2 linked regions of the Oryctolagus cuniculus genome follow. The protein of the gene in region 2 interacts with the protein of the main gene of each other region in a pairwise test. Links are inferred from orthologs where the notes say so. Each region holds a gene or a part of one and is shown on either strand. Other genes may lie near its edges.

Evidence for each region. The genes of interacting proteins can lie anywhere in the genome.
Region 1: the proteins of BAG6 (region 2) and RNF126 interact in binary tests that used the Homo sapiens proteins (3 or more experiments, as listed by UniProt). The link is inferred for Oryctolagus cuniculus from reciprocal best matches to the Homo sapiens genes BAG6 and RNF126.

What each region holds. Positions count from the first base shown.
Region 1 is NC_091447.1:58,384,701-58,387,435, forward strand, and holds part of RNF126 (E3 ubiquitin-protein ligase RNF126), read right to left. Parts: intron 1,196-2,735; coding exon 1,137-1,195; intron 896-1,136; coding exon 826-895; intron 277-825; coding exon 32-276; intron 1-31. UniProt on the Homo sapiens protein: E3 ubiquitin-protein ligase that mediates ubiquitination oF target proteins. Depending on the associated E2 ligase, mediates 'Lys-27'-, 'Lys-29'-, 'Lys-48'- and/or 'Lys-63'-linked polyubiquitination of substrates.
Region 2 is NC_091436.1:138,962,223-138,966,574, forward strand, and holds the start of BAG6 (large proline-rich protein BAG6), read left to right. Parts: upstream 1-1,485; 5' UTR 1,486-1,625; exon of another isoform or gene 1,626-1,801; intron 1,802-2,275; exon of another isoform or gene 2,276-2,279; 5' UTR 2,280-2,288; coding exon 2,289-2,396; intron 2,397-3,790; coding exon 3,791-3,908; intron 3,909-4,024; coding exon 4,025-4,221; intron 4,222-4,352. UniProt on the Homo sapiens protein: ATP-independent molecular chaperone preventing the aggregation of misfolded and hydrophobic patches-containing proteins.

The DNA.
Region 1 (2,735 bases), on a different chromosome or scaffold from region 2:
CGGGGTCCTGTCCACCCCCAGGCCCCCTCACCCTTCCAGCGTGGGGACGCCTTCGTGCCGGCCGGTGGCCCGCCGTGCAGTGAGCCGGGCGCGGGGCTGCCGGGCGCCATACCGGTGCCGGGACTGGTGCTCTCGTTCCCGCCGGCTCTCGGGGTCCCTGCCGTCATCAGCCTGCGCCCCAGCGGGGAACGCGGGGATCTCAAAGCTGTCGTCAAAGATGCCGAAAGCAAACTGCCCGTAGCCCTGCGGCAGCGTGAACAGCTGCTGGTCGACGTTCTGGGGAGGAGAGGGACGCTGACCGGAGGCCGGGGGGAGGGAGAGGGACGGTGGCCGGAGGCCGGGGGAGGGAGAGGGACGGTGGCCGGAGGCCGGGGGAGGGAGAGGGACGGTGGCCGGAGGCCGGGCCTGGCGGCACCGTGGGCACATGGCAGGTGAAGCCGCCGCCTGCATGGCCGGCGCCCACGAGCGACTCCACTCCCACCCAGCTCCCTGCTGACGGCCCGGGGGGGGGGGCGGGGGGGGCAGCAGGGATGGCTCAAGTGCTTGGGGCCCCGCCACCCCCACGGGGGACCCAGCTGGAGGTCCAGGCTCCTGGCTGCGGCCTGGCCCAGCCCCGGCCACTGAGGCCACGTGTGGCGTGAGCCCGAGGGCGAAGCTTACGCCCTCGCCAGCTGCTCTGTCACTGCTGGCCGGGGCTCGGGGCGACGCCAGGGAGGTGACGCTGGCCTTGCTGCTGCCCCAGCAGGGTGGACCGCAGTGGGAGGGGGCGTGTGGAGGGCCCCCACCCCAGCGGGGACGGCCCTCAGGCCAGGGGCCCGCACCCACCTCGAACGGCTGCCGGCTCTGGCTCTGGTCGGTGGGGGCTGTGGACGGGGCAGAACTGTTCTCTGTGTTCCTGGGGAGACAGCGGTGTCAGCGCCGGTGTCTGTCGGGGGCCCCCCAGGGGTCACGCCCTGCCTGTGCCCCCACCTCTGGACCTGAGAGCCAGGGCCCCTGTGAGCCAGGGCGCGGACCCCACCCTGGCCTGGGCTGTGCCAGGCGGGAGCAGCTGCCCCTCCCGCTGTGAGCGCACGTGCGCGGGGCCCCTCCCCTGCACGGCCAGCGTGCCCACCCCCGGCCTCCACGGTCGAGGTCACCTGGTGTCTTCTGGAAGCTCCTCGATGAAGCCGGACTCGCATCTTGGGCAGGTGTAGTCCTGCAGAACAGGGGTCACTGAGGGGGACTGCCTCCTGGGCCCCTCCCAGACACCCCCACGGGGGTCTCCCAGAGCAGGGCGCTGCTCGGCGGGACCAGCGACGCCCAGGGCGGCCCTTCCAGAACACTGCAGAGCCCCGGTGCCCAGACCCCCGGACTGCAGTGGTCGACGCACCCCCCACAGCAGGCTGTGTGCCCTCGGCCACGGGGGGCGGAGCCGGGCGAGGGCGGCCCCCACGGGCAGCACGTGCAGGACTCAAACGGACGCGGCTCCCAGGACAGGGCCGGCACCGCGATCACGGGCTCCAGGAAGACGCCGACCACAACCGCGTCTCGCCCTGCAGCCAAGCCCACGAGTCTCCCGAGACGTGGCCGCCGGGCCGGCCCAGTGCCCCTCGCAGGTGAGCGGGCACACAGGGCGCGCGGCCCACGCAGCCACGGCATGCAGGGACCCGAGGACCCCACGCTCACGGAGATGCGGGCACAGAGGCCACAGCCTGAGCGACTCCACCAGCAGGACGCTCCCAGCGAATCCAGGGAGACAGGAAGTGGATGCGTGGGTGCCGGCTGGGGGAGGCAACCACAAATGGGTGTGAGGTTTCTTTTGGGGCGAGAATGTTCTGGGATTAGACTGCGGTTACGGTTACATAACTCTGGAGACCCTGAGCGCAGGGACTGTGCACCCAGCCTGCGACACGGGAACACGGCCCGGGACCCCGCTGTGCTGTGCGCAGGTGCGGCGACCAGGGCGGACGCCCCACCCGAGTCGTCCTGCTTCCGACGTCGGGGCCTGCGGAGCATGAGCTGTCTGCCACCCCGGCTCAGGGCGGGCACCCAGCACCCACGCTGCTCTGACTCAGTGCACCTGGACGGCTGCCCAGGTCCTGGCCACACCTCAGCCCGTGCTGGTGGCTGGCCCCGCCACGGACGGGGACGCAGCTCGGAGGCGACTGGCCCTTGCTGACCTGCGTCCACCCCTGGCGCAGCCCACAGCCCAGGTGTGCCCAGGCCCCCAGCCTCTCCCCCCACAGCTCAAGTGTACCCAGGCCCCCAGCCCCTCCCCCACACAGCCCAGGTGTGCCCAGGCCCCCAGCCTCTCCCCCCACAGCTCAAGTGTGCCCAGGCCCCCAGCCCCCCCCCCACAGCTCAAGTGTGCCCAGGCCCCCAGCCTCTCCCCCCACAGCTCAAGTGTGCCCAGGCCCCCAGCCCCCTCCCCACACAGCTCAAGTGTGCCCAGGCCCCCAGCCCCCTCCCCCACACAGCCCAGGTGTGCCCAGGCCCCCAGCCCCCCCCCACAGCTCAAGTGTGCCCAGGCCCCCAGCCCCCTCCCCCACACAGCTCAGGTGTGCCCAGGCCCCCAGCCCCTCCCCCACACAGCCCAGGTGTGCCCAGGCCCCCAGCCCCCCCCCACAGCTCAAGTGTGCCCAGGCCCCCAGCCCCCTCCCCCACACAGCTCAGGTGTGCCCAGGCCCCCAGCCCCTCCCCCACACAGCCCAGGTGTGCCCAGGCCCCCAGCCTCTCCCCCCACAGCTCAAGTGTGC
Region 2 (4,352 bases):
TTAGACCTCTCTTCTATTTGGGATAATTTTATTTAATCATCAATCTCACAGGATTGAAATAATGCATATGAAGTCTTTAGCAAAGACCAGAAAATGGTTAAGTCCCAAGTTAAATATTCAGTATAACAGTAGTATCTGCAGACTACTTACTAGTTTCTGGTGGGTAATCTCTGAAACCATAGGCACTAAGGGAAGAATGGTGACGCTGTGGTCACTGGGTTGTGCTGAGGGAGGAACTGCTGCTGAATGACCAGGGCTCCATTGCCAAATTACTTACTACCCGCGGACTACGACAAAGATTTACTCTGGGACTTGAGGCTTGCTATGGACTTGTGATTTACTGTGTAAACAGATCACGGTTTAAAAAAAATCAAAGCTAAATCCGAGCGAAGGGTATATGAAAGTTCATTTTACTAGTCTATTTTGGGGGTAATGCTTTGAGATTTCTCAAGAAAAAGCTAAGATGTAACAATTTATTGGAGCAGTAACGTCGAACTGGGCCCGTGTTTGTCACTTCCACCACCTAGGTTTGTCTAGGCGTACTCACCTATAAAACAGATGTTAGTACCCATTTCCAAGGTCAAAACTTTAAAATATGTAAAACGCTTATTATACTGGCTGGCACACTGAGCAGGTGCTTATTTAAACTGAACCAGTCCTGGGATCTGGGTATAAACTACAAATCGCAGAAAGACGTGGGGGAAAGGGGGCGCAGAGAAGCGGTAGTCCCCCCACCGCACCCCTGCGGAAGCCCCTCGGTGGCCTTTCAATTCTCCAAGGTCAAGGTCTCCTCTTTCGGTCCAGTCGGGTTCCATCGCGACAATTCTCAAACTCGGAAAACACTTCTCTTGACAAAAGTCCTGAAAGACAGCGGCAGGCTTAGCCTTCCTACAACATGGCGTGACTCCCTGGCCGCTCACTGCCCATGACGAACAAACACTACGTTCAGTCCGCAAAACGCCCCAACCGGCACAAGCGAGCTCCGGCCCAACGACGCAACCGCACGGAGAAACATCTCGCGAGCCGCCCCCAACAGCCTACGGCAAAGGTGACTTCCGGAGGCGCCGGAGCAAAGGTGCCGTGAGGACGACCGCGAGACGCTAGGAGGCTTAGGTGCCTAGGACAATGCCGCCTAAAATTCTCCGCTTACCAGGATTTTAACATAGGTTAACGGGGCAAAATCTCCAGGCTCCAAACTCTAAGGTCTACACGAATAGTTCGTAGTCTCTCTTGAGGCAGTGGCAGTCTCATCGGGCAATTTTTTTCTTCAGGCATTTATAGTGGCCACCTCAACCCCCAATCGCTGAAGCGCGCGCACAGGGGAAGTAACCACCGCCAGAGGGGGTGGGTGGGCGGAGTTTAAATGTGCACGCATGCGTAATGAGACTTAACGCAGGCGCAGTACGGTCCCCGGGCGACGACGGCGGCGGCTCCTCGGGGTGCTCGGCTCCCTCCCATCTAGGCCGGCCCCTGCCCGTCTCGCCCCCAGCAACTCACTGTTTGGGGCTACGGACTTTCTAATCGTGCCCCACAAAAGTAACGCTTGGGGACCTGGGGGAGCCGGAAGTACCGCCTCGTGATTCCCCAGATACTATCGGGGAAACGGAAGTGACCGTCGGAGGCAGGTTGGGGGAGACCGGAAGTGACGGTACCGTGGGGAAGTCGGGGGCGGAGCCGAAGGGTGGTGGGGAGTGTATGTGTATGGTGTTTGGCTGTGGCTGTGTGTTGGTTGTGCTGCTCTCTTGGAACACCGAGGGAAGGCGGAAGTGGGGGGGCAGTCAGCTAGCCGGTCCAGCCCCCCGTGAGTGTCCGCCGTCCGGGTCTGTAGTGATTTAGGCGGGTTCGATGGGCGTGGCGCGCGTGCGCGAAACCACTTTCTCCGCGGAGTCTGGCGCGACTCCCACTCTCGGGTTGTCCCAGGGTTTGTCGACTTCTGGGACCCTTGTAGTGCCGTGACTGGTGATGACACGGGTCTCTGGTCCCATGCTTGCTTCTTTTCCCGTATCTTAAGCCGACTGACCCGCCCTCATTGTGATTGGCATTGTGGAGCTCCTCCTACCTCCTGTCCTTCGGTTCCCTGTGCCGTCGATCTGCCCTTTGTGTTTCTCTCTCGTTGCCCCGGAATCGGAAGGGGAATGGGGGCGGGTGTGAGTGTGTGTGCTTGTGCGGGAGAAACTTTTTAGGTATTGGGGCGGGGATTCAGCCCGGGGAGGCTTCCTGGATCTAAAATCGGCTCCGGGCGACAGTGGACCTTCCTCTCCCCCTTCTTTCTTAGAGAGGTGTCGGCCATGGAGCCCAGTGATAGTACCAGCACCACTATGGAGGAGCCTGACAGCCTGGAGGTGCTGGTGAAGACCTTGGACTCTCAGACTCGGACCTTTATTGTGGGGGCCCAGGTGAGACCCCGATACTTCTGGAAGACATCTGTGGGCCCTTTGTCCCGGGGGCCCATTAGACGGAGAAGAGCCTGATGTTCTAGTCCTTGAGTTTTCATTGATTTCTTTGTTCACTTTTTTAACTGTTGAGTGAGGCAGATTTTTGTTCTGCCTTCTTTCAACTTGGTGGAAGTCAGTGCAGAGAATAGGAAGGAGGAATCTGTACGCTGTCATCTTATGTGGCCTCCAGCCCAAGGGGACAGCCTTTGGGAATGGACGTGATACAGTGACCCCCAAACAAGTGTGTCTTCTATAAACAGAAATTGGTCACATGGGTGTATACTCTTTTTTTTCCTGTCTCCTCTTTCCCCTTCTCTTTCTTTCTAAAAAGAGACAGAGCTTCCATCTGTTGGTTTGCTTCCCAAATGCCTGCAGTGGCTGAGACTGGGCAGGAGCTGGAAGCCAGGAACACTATCTAGTTGGTTGATCCATCGATTTTGCCTCCCAGGGTCTGTGTTAGCAGGAAGCCGGAGCCAGGAGCCAGAGCTGGGTATTGACCAGCCACTCTGATATGGGATGTGAGCATCTTAATTGCTAGGCTGGGTGCTCACTGCCTATACTGTTTTTTAAGTATGCGCATAAGAATTCGTAATGAATAGAGCTTTTGTAGACAAGCGAGTGGAATTACTGTATTTGCAGCATACTTTGAAACTCTGTTTAATGCTGTGGACACAGCTGTCTGTGCCTTTACTCCTGAAATAGCTAGAGACAGAATTGTGAGCAGACTGATCTATAGTTTCATAAAATATCACATGTTATTAAGAAAATAATATGGGCCTTTGTGGTTAGATGTATGTAAACATTCTAGCATTTCATAAGAGTGAGTTTTCTAGGTAGGAAAAATGACTTTCTTTTTTTCTCTCCTTCCTTCCTTCTTTCCTTCCTTCATTCTTTTCTCTCTTTCTCTTTTTTTTTCTCTCTTTCTTCCCTTTCTTTTTGCTACCTTTTCTTCTTGGCTAGTCTTCCCTCACCTGATTCCCTAACCCATTCTCCTTGCCATTGTTTCTGTCTTTGAGATTACAGGGTTGTCCTGGTATCATTTTGTGTTTGGGAAGGGGTCACTGGTAGCACTGAGCGCACCTTCCCTTGGGAACCAGGCAAAGAAGGAGAGAGGGGGCTGGCAGTCGGCTTTCTTGTTTCTTATCCACATCTTCTCCTGGTCTGTGCCATGAGTGTCCTTGAGTTTACTGCTTCTGTTTTGAGTCAAGCTTTGCACGATAGTTACCTCACATAGGAGACAATTGGCTAGTGATTCTATATGAGTTCTACCTCTCACCTTCCCTAATGCATGGTCCCTCTTCTGTACCTCCTCTGTCCTTTATCTGACTCCTGTGTGTGTCCTTTCTTCCTTGCAGATGAGTGTGAAGGAGTTTAAAGAGCATATTGCTGCCTCTGTCAGCATCCCCTCTGAGAAACAGCGGCTCATCTATCAGGGGCGAGTTCTGCAAGATGACAAGAAGCTCCAGGAATACAGTAAGGGGGTGGGGAGGCACTGCAGAGGTAGAGGATAGTGTTCAGAGGGATGAGCTGAGGCCATGGGTTTACCTGATCATACAACTATTTTGATGTATGTCTTTTTCTTTCTGCAGATGTTGGGGGAAAGGTTATCCATTTGGTGGAACGGGCTCCTCCTCAGACTCAGCTCCCTTCTGGGGCATCTTCTGGGACAGGGTCTGCCTCAGCCACCCATGGTGGGGGACCCCTGCCTGGTACTCGGGGGCCTGGGGCCACAGTTCATGACCGGAATGCCAACAGCTATGTCATGGTTGGAACCTTCAATCTTCCTGTAAGCTTGTGTTTTGCATGGCAGAGTTTTTGTGGGGAAGGGTAGTTTGGTTGGTTGTGGTATCAACAGGAGGCCCATCAGATGCATGTGTCAGTCTTCAGCTTGGAGGGCTCTGTGGTTTAGTGTTGGAT